Linked DNA regions of Notamacropus eugenii. The protein of the gene in region 1 purifies or fractionates together with the protein of each later gene. This does not show direct contact. Links are inferred from orthologs where the notes say so. Each region holds a gene or a part of one and is shown in the gene's direction. Other genes may lie near its edges.

What was found.
Region 2: the proteins of AP1S2 (region 1) and AP2B1 purify together in Homo sapiens (affinity purification with mass spectrometry; 3 studies listed by BioGRID and IntAct, counting the BioPlex papers as one, with this or other methods). This does not show direct contact. The link is inferred for Notamacropus eugenii from reciprocal best matches to the Homo sapiens genes AP1S2 and AP2B1.
Region 3: the proteins of AP1S2 (region 1) and AP1G2 purify together in Homo sapiens (affinity purification with mass spectrometry; 3 studies listed by BioGRID and IntAct, counting the BioPlex papers as one, with this or other methods). This does not show direct contact. The link is inferred for Notamacropus eugenii from reciprocal best matches to the Homo sapiens genes AP1S2 and AP1G2.

Annotation. Positions count from the first base shown.
Region 1 is NC_092876.1:374,168,452-374,172,728, forward strand, and holds the start of AP1S2 (AP-1 complex subunit sigma-2), read left to right. Parts: upstream 1-1,319; 5' UTR 1,320-1,348; coding exon 1,349-1,393; intron 1,394-1,749; coding exon 1,750-1,928; intron 1,929-4,277. UniProt on the Homo sapiens protein: Subunit of clathrin-associated adaptor protein complex 1 that plays a role in protein sorting in the late-Golgi/trans-Golgi network (TGN) and/or endosomes.
Region 2 is NC_092873.1:307,739,402-307,743,678, reverse strand, and holds the start of AP2B1 (AP-2 complex subunit beta), read left to right. Parts: upstream 1-1,456; 5' UTR 1,457-1,538; intron 1,539-4,277. UniProt on the Homo sapiens protein: Component of the adaptor protein complex 2 (AP-2). Adaptor protein complexes function in protein transport via transport vesicles in different membrane traffic pathways.
Region 3 is NC_092878.1:9,585,504-9,589,780, forward strand, and holds the start of AP1G2 (AP-1 complex subunit gamma-like 2), read left to right. Parts: upstream 1-1,106; coding exon 1,107-1,310; intron 1,311-2,519; coding exon 2,520-2,644; intron 2,645-2,797; coding exon 2,798-2,939; intron 2,940-3,081; coding exon 3,082-3,178; intron 3,179-3,453; coding exon 3,454-3,530; intron 3,531-3,651; coding exon 3,652-3,747; intron 3,748-4,148; coding exon 4,149-4,229; intron 4,230-4,277.

The DNA of each region.
Region 1 (4,277 bases):
ATGGCGAGTCGGGGGACCCGGGCAGGGGGAAGTAGGGTCCTCGCGAGGGGCACGGAGCGCGGCCGCGGGCCATTGTCTCTCCCCTTCCCCTCTCGCCCTCCCTGCCTGGCGCTCCTGGAGCGTCTTTTCTGACTAAAGGAGAGCTGTGACTCCAGGAGCGTCTTGGCCATCCTCAGTCTAACAGGCAGCCCTGCCCGCCCCCTGGAAAGCACTCTTCCTCTGCCTTTCGCCTTATGTATTTATTTAAGGTCCCGGGGGTTGGTTTCACCGAGGCTCGGGCAGGTAGAGCCCCAGATTTTCAGGTAACTCGTCTTATGGGAGGATAAGTGATTCATCCAACGTGAGAAGTCGGAGTTGTGGCCACGGGCTCCCCCTCCCTCCAGCGGGCAGTCTGCACTTTGCGTCTCAATAACACAAGATCTGGGGAAATGGAATCCGTTCTATTCCTAGTTCTTCAGCCGCTTTGAGATTGGACAGAGTCCGTCAGTTTTCTTTTACGTGGAAAGGTGTACAGTCTTTGTATTATTAGCCCAATGATTGAATTAATAAATACGTTGTGGTGTCGTCCTCGTTTGGGAGGAGCTTTGAGATCCTTGGAAAAGTATTTCCATTAGCGTAGTGCTTGACCTACAGTAAGCGGTTCATAAATATATTGCAGTCCTCCTTTGTGAGGAGCTTTGAGATCTGTGGAAAAGTGTATTAATGTTATTAGCCCAATACTTGACTCATAGTAAGCGTTTAATAAATGCGTATGGACTGTTGGACTGTGTTTTGTTAAATGAGGGAGGATTGACTTAGGTTTTAATTGGTTGAATAAGATTAACCCAGTCAAAAATGTAAGACATATTTGATTATTTATAATTTTGCAAATTATTTTTTACAAAATCGAGAAAGGGCCCATTTCACAATAAAGAAATATGTTTAAAAAGTCAGCATATTATGAATGTTAGGGGAAAAATCCAGAATTACAATTGTACTTGAAATGTTAACACGACTATAAAAAAGATATTGAAAAATTACATATGAAATATGTTATTTCATTTATTCAGTATTTCCTTATTTGTAGTTTAAAAGTCAAGTTTAACTAAAATAAGTTTTCCTGAAATAATAAATTTTTAAATGGTCACAATTTTATTTGCAGACCCTAACTAAGCATACAAATATCAAATACTTTAAAAGGTAGCATTTGTGTATATATGATTTTGATTTTGATAATACAGTCATGCCCCAGTTTGGCACAGTGTGTGTTGTTTTGAATTTTTATAAAATGAATATGAGAAGAGAAATTTTGTCTGAAAGTATGGTTGATCTTTCATATTTTTATTTCTGTTAAAAGATACCAACTGAAATGTTAATTTGTCTTGAAAAGTGCCATCCGGTTGGGACAAATAAGGTATTATAAGAGAAAACAAACATGTTTTATATGACTACATCAAATGTTACTAAAACATGTTATTCTTTGCCTCTTTAAAGCGTATCAAAGGTGATGGTTTCCTGCTCTAACCATAATTATAATAATTTTTAAATTTTCAATTGCATTTCTGAGTTTGTGTGTGTGAGAGAGACAGCTCTGTGAATGATTTATTTTTATTTTTTAATTTAGTGTGGATATTATGATAATCATGTATCAATTTACTTTCTCTCTGTTCTGTTATAATGGAGCTTGTTAAAAGCTACATTGAAAAAATGTAGCTTTATCTCAGTGTGTGTAGAATCTGAAAATAAGATTTGATTTGTTTATTTTACCAGATGCAGTTTATGTTGCTTTTTAGTCGTCAAGGAAAGCTCCGACTCCAGAAATGGTATGTTCCACTGTCGGACAAAGAAAAGAAAAAAATCACAAGAGAACTTGTTCAAACAGTTTTAGCCCGTAAACCCAAAATGTGCAGTTTTTTGGAGTGGCGAGATCTGAAGATTGTCTACAAAAGGTATAATTTTCATTTTTCAGAAAGTTGCAGTAGGAGACCAAATGTTATTTAGTTCATAATAGTAGTCAAATATGAATGAAAAGTGACTTACGGACAATTATACAAAGAGGAAGACCACTTTTGTAATTAGAAATTCTTAAAGTAGACTTAAAGTGATGAAACCTTAGATGAAGTAAACTATAATATGCCTCCTTTGATGCAGAATTGAAATGACAAATCAGGAAATACTTTTAATAGATGATTCTTTCAAAGCTTAAAAATAGCTTTAATGATGAGTATACTCATTTATAAATTTATTAAGTCTTCATACATATTAACTTTTAGAAAAAGTAAATAATCATTACTCACATTTAAATAGCATTTTAAGAGCTGCAAAGCTATTTTTCTTCAACAACCCTCTAAGGTAGGTAGGACAACTATTACCTATATTTTATTGAGGTTTTTGAAAAGACATACCTTGCTTATTATCACATAGGTATTAAATGTCCAAAATGGGATTTGAACCCACTAGTATACACTGTTTAGTTTAGGCATTTTTTAAAATGTCATCTGGTTAGTAAAATTGGAATAATAATTTTCACTGAGGTTCGCCTAGACAGGTAACTAAAATACTGAGCATCAGATTTAAACTCTGGTTTGTGTTTAAAAAGCTTTTCAAAATCTGACTCTAACCTACCTTTCCTGGTTAATTATACATGTTCTTCTTTCATGTACCCGTAGGTAGGTCCAGTCAAACTGGCCTTGCTTTTGCTTACATACAGCATTATTTAAGGCCTGCTTCCATACCTGTCTCTTCCAGCCCCCAAAATACCTGGGGTTCATACTTTTCTCACTTTTGCATCTTGAAATTGTGTCTTTCCTGAACCCTGCCTGGTTGCTCATTTCTCCCTTCCTATTTCCTGAGGGAAAAAAGAATCTTTTATGTATTTTGTCAATACTTAGACACATGCATATTGTCTCCCCCGTAGAATGTAAGTTCATTGAAGGCCGGAACCTTTTTGGGTTTATAGTTACAGCACTTGACATAAAAGCAAGCTGATCATTTGAGACTGATTTTTGTCACACATCTTATATCTAAGCCTTTTCAGTCATATTGATGTTTAAAATTCTTGTTTATTTGAGACAAAGCCCACTTTGTTATTAACAAAGTTAATGCACGTTTTGCAATATCAAAAATGTGGCGAGTTACGAAGTAGTTTCATCATAGGAAGATGTTGAAGTTTGATCTCTATGAAATAACAACTGAAAATTACTCTTTATAACACGATGAGAAATATATTTTTTAATAGTAACATTTACTTCTGTGGAAAGTATAGTAGTATAATTATATTGAAACGAAAGTAATATTTCTCATAACTGTGAAATAAATTATTTTTAATCTGTAGACTTTGATTTGGGGTGTTGATTTCACCTTGTTTCTTTTCCTTTAATAATTTCATTCTTATGAAGTAAAATAACTTTACTGAGCAGAATAAAAAAGAAATATTTCAGTATTAGACAAACATTTTGTAATATGGAAAAAAAGAACTGATAATATAAAGTTTTGAAATCAGAAAGGGAAAAAAGATCAATTTTCTCCATTCCTTCTCTTTTTTAAGCATTTAAGATTGTATAAAAAGCAATTCAAAACTAGTGGTAGATGAATTTAGAGGAAAGTAAAACTGCATTCATATTATTTTGTAAAAATTGGATTTAGTGATCAGTTCTGACCTTTTGTAAGCAGTATTATTTAGAAAGAATAGAATTTTGAAATGGAAGGGACCCTAGAAATCATCCAGTCCATTCTTTCTGCCTCCCAACTTAGTGTACAGATGAGGAAACTGAAACCTCTACAAGTTGTTTCTTTTTTGTCTTTGTATCACCAGGCCTAGGTTACTATAGTGCCTTAATAAATGTTCATAGAATGACATTGTTGAGATTTGCCCAAGTTATGAAGAACTCAGGTCTCTTTAATACCAATTTAATGCGCTTTCCAGATAGTTTGGTCTTATTAATAATAACTTTATTGAAAGTTAGGGAGAAAGCATCCAATTGAATGTGTAGCCTGTGGTGTGAAAATTGATTCAATCCTTTATATTCACCAGATAGCCCATGTATTTGAGAAGTTTATGAAACTGAATAAGCTAATAGTTGGATGTGGGATATTATAATATCTATTACATGAATCTAAAAAGCAAAATGTTGGTAGGTTGAAGAACTAAACAATGATAGATGGTGGGACAAAAGAACTGAACTCAGTTCTAGTTTTATTAGTGGACTAGCTGTTTGATTGAGCAAACTTCTTTATCTGTATATTTCAGTTTCAAACTCACTGGCCAAAGTCTCATTCATTCATTTTCCTCTCTCCTT
Region 2 (4,277 bases), on another chromosome or scaffold:
TATGCTTGGAGAAGGAGGTGCTCTTAGTTAGGTTAGGTTTAACATTCTTCTTTGGGGAGAAAGATAGACACCACCAGGCTGCTCCCAGGGAAACTGTCCATTCATCTCTAGTCATCAGACCATTTGATAACTACTATTAGTTAATTAATAACTAATAAAAAACTGATAACTAATAAAAGTTAGTTAATAATTAACTAGCTATTCTTGATAAAGAGGTGCTATTGTAATTATTTCTACATCTTGGCATCTAAGAAGCATGATTACTGGGTGGAGATGGGGGTGAGGGTGAGGTAGGGGTGAGGGTGGGGGTAGAAGAGAGAAGTGGTAATCCTTACAGAAAATAGATGCTCTTGGGGAGGGGGCTGAAAGGGGGCTTTGAAGGCAACCTCTCCAAAGACTTCCATTATCCTAAAGCATCATTATAGACCTGGGAAAGTCTTTAAAGACCACCTTGTCCATCTTCTTTATTTCAGAGAGAAGACAGAGCCTCGTGTTTGTTATCTCCAATTTGGCTTGTAGATATTTTTGTACATAGGTGAAAGAATGAGTATTTATTAAGCACCTACTACATCCCAGACACGATGCTAAGAATTTCTTACATCTCATGTGATCCTCACAACAATCCTGTGAGGTGGGTACTTGTATTAGCCCTATTTTACAGCTGAAGAAACTGAAGCAAACAGGGTTAAGTGACTTGTCCAGGGTCACACAGCGAGTATCTGCGGTCAAATTTGAACTCAGGTCCACCTTCATCGAGATGGAGAATTGGATAGAGTGCAGGACCTGAAGTCAAGAAGACCTGAGTTCAGATGTGACCTCAGACACTCTCTGTGTGACCCTGGCCAAGTCACTGAACCTTGTTTGTCTCAGTTCCTCATCTGGGGAAGGGGATGGCGAACCCCTCCAGGATTTTTACCAAGAAAGCCCCAGGGGGTCCCAGAGAATCAGACACCACTGGAAAACAGTGACTTCGGGATTCCAGGTCCAGTGGACCTACTAGCTGCCAACACAGTCGTCTGCACGCGGTTTCCCTGGAGAGCTGGGGCTGTCTTAGGGCAGTTGGGGGCACACAGTAGATGCTTAATCAATGCCCATTGACTTGACTTGGCAGGGAAAGGACTAGAATCAGCCAGATTGTTGAAATCCCGCCTCCATGGTCGTTGATCCTGGTCACATTTAGAATATAAATAAAATAATAAATAAAACAAATCCATGAATAAATGAAATGAAATGAAATTGTGCAGGGGGCGTGGCCTGGAGACCTCGGGGGGGGGGGCTTTTAGGCCCGCCTCCATCCCCGCCTCCTTGGGGGCCGGACTCCCCAGCCAGAAGCTCGGGGATGGGCTACGGAAGCGGGATCAAGCCAAGCAGACTGAAGACAGCAGAGTGGGTGGAGGAACTCCAGCGTGGTAGGCGGGACCGACGCCTCACGTGACAGGTCTGCTAGGTCCCGATTGGCTGTCCCGCCGGAAACGGCTCGCCGGTGGCCGCGTCTGCGCAGTGGCGAGGAGCTCCGGGCGTTCTGCGAGGAGCCGGGGGTGAGTTGCGGCGCGTTGGGCCGCCCTAGTGCGCGCGGCGTCGCTGCCTGGTTCCGCTGCCTGGATCCCTTCTCCTCTTCATCCCTCCCCTCCTCGGGGCTCACGTGGCCGGGTGTCGCGGGCCCGCCCGCAGAGGCTTGGTCAGATTCAGAGGCTGCTCACGCGGCGCTTCTGCCTCCGCGGTTCCAGGCCGGGCTCCGGGGCTCGTGGGGGCCCCCTTTCTCCCCGTACTCCCCCAAGCCTTGAGAACCCTGAGGGCAAGGATCGCCCGAGTTCTCCGACCCGGGCACCTTGGCTCCGCGTCTGGCGGCCGGCCCGCGCACGAGGATTTCTGAGCTCGGTGATCGGGGTGGGGACAAGCGACCTACTGAGCGCGGCGTTTTCTTTGTAATCCCTCTTTTATCTCTTACGTTTAAAAACTCGGGTAAAGATCCGCGGCGCGCAGAGGCCGAAGAACCAGTGCCCTCCCCCTCTTCCGATCCCCGGTCTGTGGGCAGAGCGGGAAACTTCACGGCTGGAGGCCCTCAGCCACCCATAGGCACGTAATTGTCACTGTGGATAGACTGGGGAACGTCGGGTCCGGAAGACCTGAGTTTGCATCCTGCCTCGGACACTCACCGGCAGAATGACCCGGGAGGAGTCATTTAACTTCTCTCAGCCTCAGTTTCCTCCCCTGTAAAATGGCACGCAGTTCACCAGGGTGAGGTGAGGATGAAATGATACAGCATGTAGAAAGCGTGTCGTAAACCTTCAGTGCTGTGTAAACGCAAGCTGTCATCATGGGCGAGATTTTTTATATCATCTTTTTCTGACTTGTAAGAGAGCTTTGGGTAAGGAATTTTCTCTACCCGTGGAGATGAGCTACTCCGACTTACATGCCTCCTAACGACACTAATTTGAGTGAAGTGACTCACCCAGGGTGATGAAGCCGGTGTGTATCAAAGTGGATTTGAACCTTCCTGGTTCTGAGGCTGTCTGTACTACTCTGAGGTGCCTCAGCATTCTGTGATCTTAGGATCCCTTTTACAAAGTGAGACAGCCCCTACCTACCCCCAAGGGAGGGGTTTCACCATCCTCCCAGTCACTCAGGCTCACAACCTGGGGTGTGTGTCATCCTCAACCCCCCTCTCTCTCACCCTCACCATATCCAGTCATTCCCAACTCCTGTCATTTTTACCTTCATAAGATCTTTCTTATGCTTTCTCCTTTCTAATGACAGTGTCACCTCTCTAGAGCAGGCCTTCATCACCTCCTGCCTGGGCTATTGGAATAGCTTCCTGGTGCCTCTGCCTGCTTCAGGTCTCCCCACGCAGCTGTCAAAATGATTTTCCTTAAGTGCAGGTCTGACCAGATCACCACCCATATTCAGTAAACTCTGTCATCTCCCCCATCAAGTATAAAATCCTCTTTTTGGCTTTCAGAGCCCTTTATAACCCACCCCTCAGGCACCACCATGGACACACCACTCCCTTCCCCCACTGTCCTTTTCCATCCAGTGACACTGGCTGCCTCGCTGTTCTCTGCACAGGACTCTGCATCTCCCAGCTCTGGGCATTTTCACTAGATGTTTCCCACCCCTGAAATGCTCTTCCTCCTCCTGTCTTGCCCCTCTGACTTCCTTCAGGTCTCAGCTAAAGAAACCTTCCCTGATTACCCTTATGCCAGTGCCTTTCCTTTGTTGGTTCTTTCCTATTTATCCTCCCCATGGCTTGTCTGCACATAGTTGTTGGCTTGTGTCTCCCCCATTAGATAGGGACTGTTTGTCTTTCTTTTGTATCCCCATTACTTAGCACATGCCTGCCAGAGAGTGGGAGGTTAATGCAAGCTTGTTGATTTGACATTCTGCTATATGTCCCTCTTGTCTCCCTCTATATTTTCTTGGTTGTTTGACCCATTTCCAGGAATTCAGTTACCACCTATGCAGATGACTCCCAGATCTGATTAGGTCTGATCTCTGTCTGGGCTTGTGTAGCCTCCTGGATGTGGTCAGTACTTCCAGCTCCAACTTCTACCCCTGTGCTTTGGCATAGCCAGGCTTCCATTTCTGGAACATGTTCTCTCTTCATCTCGTTGTCTTCTCCCAGAAACCTTTCTTACTCATAGTTGCTAATGCTGTCTCCACTGTTTACTTAACCAGTGGCTATTTTATTCTGCGGTAGAACACAAGTCCCTTTAGTTTTTGTATCTTCATCCCTGTTCTTCTCTGAGATAATAATGAAGGCATACTGCTCGGTTTCTTGATAGCATGCACTTAACATTTATTGAATTGTCTTCCCTTCAAAACCCACCTCTCCCAAGTGACAAAATCTACCTCTCTCCTCCCTGTCACCCATAGGTGTTAACTTTATGGTCATCTTAGTGACTGCTAGCAGGGTTCTGTAGTATATAGAGTGTTGGGCCTGGAGTCAGGAAAACCTCAGTTCAAATCCAGCCTCTGACACTTACTAGCTGTGTGACCCTGGGCAAGTCACTCAACCTTGGTTGGTTTCCTCATCTCTGAAATGAGGATAATAATAGTACTTACCTCCCAAGGTTGTTGTGAGATTCATACGGGATAGTTTGTAAAGCATTTAGGATGGCACTTTGCACTAATAGGTCCTTAACAAAGGCTTGCTTCCTTCTTTCATCCTTGATTCCCTTTTCTCCCCTGCTCCTACATTTCTAATCAGCTGTCAAATCATGTTAATTTTATTTAATTTATTATTTTAATTCATTCCCATCTATCTCTGACCATGTCCC
Region 3 (4,277 bases), on another chromosome or scaffold:
CATCTCCTTTGAGGTGTGAGGGATTCAGACCATTCTACCCTAAGACCGCCTATCTCCTCCCTTGGTCAGTTTTGGTGCCCCAAGGGTAAGATCTTATGGAGGGAAAATTGGGGGGGGGGGCTGAACCCACACATCAGGGGAGGGTGGCTGGGGACCCCCAGACCTCCAGTCTGCCTTTGCTCCATCACACCCATCGAGTCCCACGTGCTCGGGGCAGAGCCAGGTGCATGGAGGAGCTGAAGGGGGCTGGGTCCTACCCATAACATCTGTGCTTTTTTGTTTATCAATTTATAACGTCTGTAACTCCAGACCCGCACAGCACTTTACAAACACTGCTTCGGAGATGGGAGCTACTATCTCCATTTTACAGAAGAGGAAACTGAGGCAGGCAGCGGTAAAGGGACCGGCCCAGGGCCACACGGCCAGGGAGGGCTGGGATGCGGCCGCCCCAGCCCCGGAAGGCTGAAGGCCGGGCCGGGACGAGGGCGAGGTGGGGCGGGAAGGGGGCAGGCCCAGGTAGGGAGCCGCCCCGCCCGGCTCGGACCAGGAAGCCCGCACACCAGTGGAGCTGCCGAGGCCAGGCTCGGGTGAGCTGGGGGCTGCTGCGTGCGCGCACGCGCGCGGGCTGTCCGGGCTGGGCCGCCGGAGACCACGAGCGTCTGACGAGGGAGGGACCGGGGGCTGCAGGATCCGCGAAGCTCGGAGGCTGCGGGGAGGGGGACAGGTGGGAAGCGTGAAGACCAGGTGTCTGGAGCCGGGGCTGTGGGGCAGCAGGGTGGGGCGGGGCGGGGAAATAGGGAGAGGCTCCGCACATGCGCAGTTGGGGCATCGGGAGAAGGGAGGGGCTCGAGGGGTGCGCAGGCCTGGGGAGGGAAGGGAAGCGAGAGCAGGGAGGGCGCGTGCGCGGTGAGGAGCGCCTGCGAGGGGGGTGGAGCGCCTGCGAGGGGGGTGGAGCCAGAGCCCCGCAGGTGGAGGGGGTGGGGAGCTCCTGGCCTATGGGCTGCGGGCGGGGGGAGCCCGGTGGGCGGGGCGAGGGCGGGGCCGAGGCGGCCGGCCCGCGGTCGCTAAGCTCCAGCCGGCCCGCAGCCCTGCCCCGCCCGGCCAGGATGGTGCTGCCCTCCCTGAAGCTGCAGGAGCTGATCCAGGAGATCCGCGGGGCCAGGACTCAGGCCCAGGAGCGGGAGGTCATCCAGAAGGAGTGCGCCCACATCCGGGCCGCCTTCCGCGAGGGCGATGCCCCCCAGCGCCACCGCCAGCTCGCCAAGCTCCTCTACGTCCACATGCTGGGCTATCCCGCCCACTTTGGACAGGTACCCCACCGGGCACCGCGCCCCTAGCGGGAACCATCCACACCTCAGCTCTGCCAGGACTCCCTGCTGTGCACAGCGGGAGCCCTTCCTTCTCAGGGACGCCCCGCTACAGACACAGGCTCACACCCCGGTCAGGAGCACAGCCACTGCAATCGGGTGACCCCTCATCCGGTCCTCCGCTGCTTAGACCCCAGGATTTCCCAAGGACCCCCCTACACACACAGCCTCACACCCTGATCATTGCAGCCAAGTGACCCCTCCTCTGATGTAAATGAGTAAGACAGCAGGCTAAGACCAGCAGTTCCGGTTTATCTTTCAGATGAGAGTTACTAAACCATATGTATATACAATTCTACATCCTAACATATTTACAATTGAAAGTATTGATTTAAAAACCATTAGTGTTAAACTGTCTGCTATATTAGATGAAATGAAGGCAGCTTACCTTACCTTGAGAATCATATTTCCTACAAATCTTTCAACTAGTTAGGTTTTAAAAAATGTTATTTGTGTAAAGAAAAAAAATTAAAAGCCTCCCCCAAAATCCCAAATAATCTGGAATACTCAACTCCAGCTGTCTCCTGCTGCCTAGACCCCAAGATTTCCCAGGGACTCCTTTTGACTCACAACTTCACCAGAGGCAGGGTGGCACACCCATGCCATCCAGGATCAATCCTCAGCTCAAACCTTCCCAGGGACTCTCTCTTTCCCTGCCCCATACACACAAGTTCATGCTCTCAGGAGGGATAGGCCATTTCAGCTAAAACCCATCCCTAGGACTGCCTATTTTTCTTCATTGATTCAACTAACATTAATTGGGTGCTTGAAATGAGATCCCCACAGCCTATCTCCCCGAAGATCTCAAGAACCTCCTTCTTTTACATATCTAAACACACACCAGTAAAATTCTCTCAGTCTTCTATGTATATCATATATACAGGTTGTCTAACTATCCCAGGCAAAATAAATTAGATAGTTTTTAAAGGCCTCTTCCAGGCCTAGATCCTAGAACCTAACAGTGAAACTCACACTGAAACTAAGGGGATCGTTTCCATTTCCTGCCCTGTTTTGGCACTATTCCACTTTCTCTATACTGAATAGTATAGAAGGTTAATTTAAATGTTAGGGAGGGGAATGGAGCGAGGCTACACGATCTCGGGTCCCTCTCACTCTTCCTTCTGGTCCTCGGCCTCTCCTGTCTTCCTATAGATGGAGTGCCTGAAGCTGATCGCATCACCCCGATTCACAGACAAAAGGGTGGGCTACCTGGGGGCAATGCTGCTGCTGGATGAGAGGCAGGATGCCCACCTGCTCATAACCAACAGCATTAAAAAGTGAGGAGGTTGGGGGAAACAATATATTCGGGAGTTTGGAGGATTCTCAAACCCTAGATAGTAGATGAGCCCTAAAAGACAGAGATGAGAGGCATCTGTGGGAGGGAAGAACTCAATTCCTAGGGCATTTCCCAATCTTGGCAACCCCTGCAGTGACCTGAGCCAAGGGACCCAGCCAGTGCAGGGGTTGGCACTATGTACCCTAAGCAACATGGGCTCAGCAGAGATGTGCCGGGACCTGGCCAATGAAGTGGAGAGGTTGCTGCTGAGGCCCAGTCCTTACATTAGAAAGAAGGTAAGTCAGGATGGAAGGTCCTCTGATGCATTTACCTTCAAGAAATTCTTCCTTGAAACTCCCAAATCTGGGTTTGATATTACTGTGCCCTTACAGTGGCTTCTTCTGGCCTGTGCCCCTCTTTCCTCCCCCACTCCCTCAGGCAGTGCTGGCTGCAGTGCACATGATCCGGAAGGTCCCTGAGCTCTCTGACATCTTTCTCCCACCCTGTACCCAGCTGCTGCATGAACGCCACCATGGTAAGAACTCTCTTGCGCAGGGAGCTCCTTTCATCCTCACTGTTAATAGCATCACGTGAACCTGCCACCCTTCCTTCCTACACTGTTCTGTCTCCTTTTGCAACTCTGGATATGGGTCATAGAAGAGTGACATGGCCCAGGGTACAGAGGTGAAAGGTGAGGCTTGTCATTTCCTGAGCCAAACAGGTTAGCAGGGCAGGTTTCAAATAGGTTTTCCTCTGACTCCATTTGATTTAATTTCCTTCCTCCCCCTCTCTCCTGCTCCTTGAAACTAGGTATCCTGATGGGAACGATCACACTGATCACAGAGCTTTGTGAGCGAAGCCCTGCTGCCCTCACACATTTCAGACAGGTGAGTCAAGAAAGAATCAGGAAACTCCCAGGGCAGAAAAGTACAAAGTACTGATAGTATGGGGGTGTGACTGGGGGTACAGCGTTCTTGTGTCCTTATGTGAAACTCTTCTCATCCCCAGGTTGTACCCCAGCTGGTGCAGATCCTTCGGACTCTGGTGATGTCGGGATATTCACCAGAGCATAGCGTTGCTGGGGTCAGTGACCCTTTCCTGCAGGTGCGGACCTGACCCTGGCATCATAATCTCTCTCCTCTGTCCCTCCTGTGTCTCGAGACAAGGAAAAGAACCCAGCTATAACTACTATTCTAAAAAGAGTGTGGTTCTGGTCAGGTTGTGAGCATTGGAGTGGCAGGCAAATGAGGCCCACAGCAGCCTCAATCTGTCCTGGCTCCCCAGAATCCCAATGACAAGCAATTCGAGGACCTTGAAAGTAGATTAGGTTTACTTTAAAGAGGTGACAGGTCCCATCTGGCCTTCCCAAGGTCCTTCTGACCCTTGAAGGAGAAAGTGTACCTCATTGTGTTCTCTTCAATGCCAAATTCCACTTAACTCCCTTGGCTCTCCACCCTGTAGCCCCCTTTTACTCACCCCATATCTTTTGATTCCTCTACTACAAGGTTCAAGTATTGAGACTACTTCGGATCCTAGGCAGAAACCACGAAGAGAGCAGTGAGGCCATGAATGACATGCTGGCCCAGGTCAGTTTGGTGGGAGTTGTGCTAGATGGGAACCTGGGTTAGGGATGG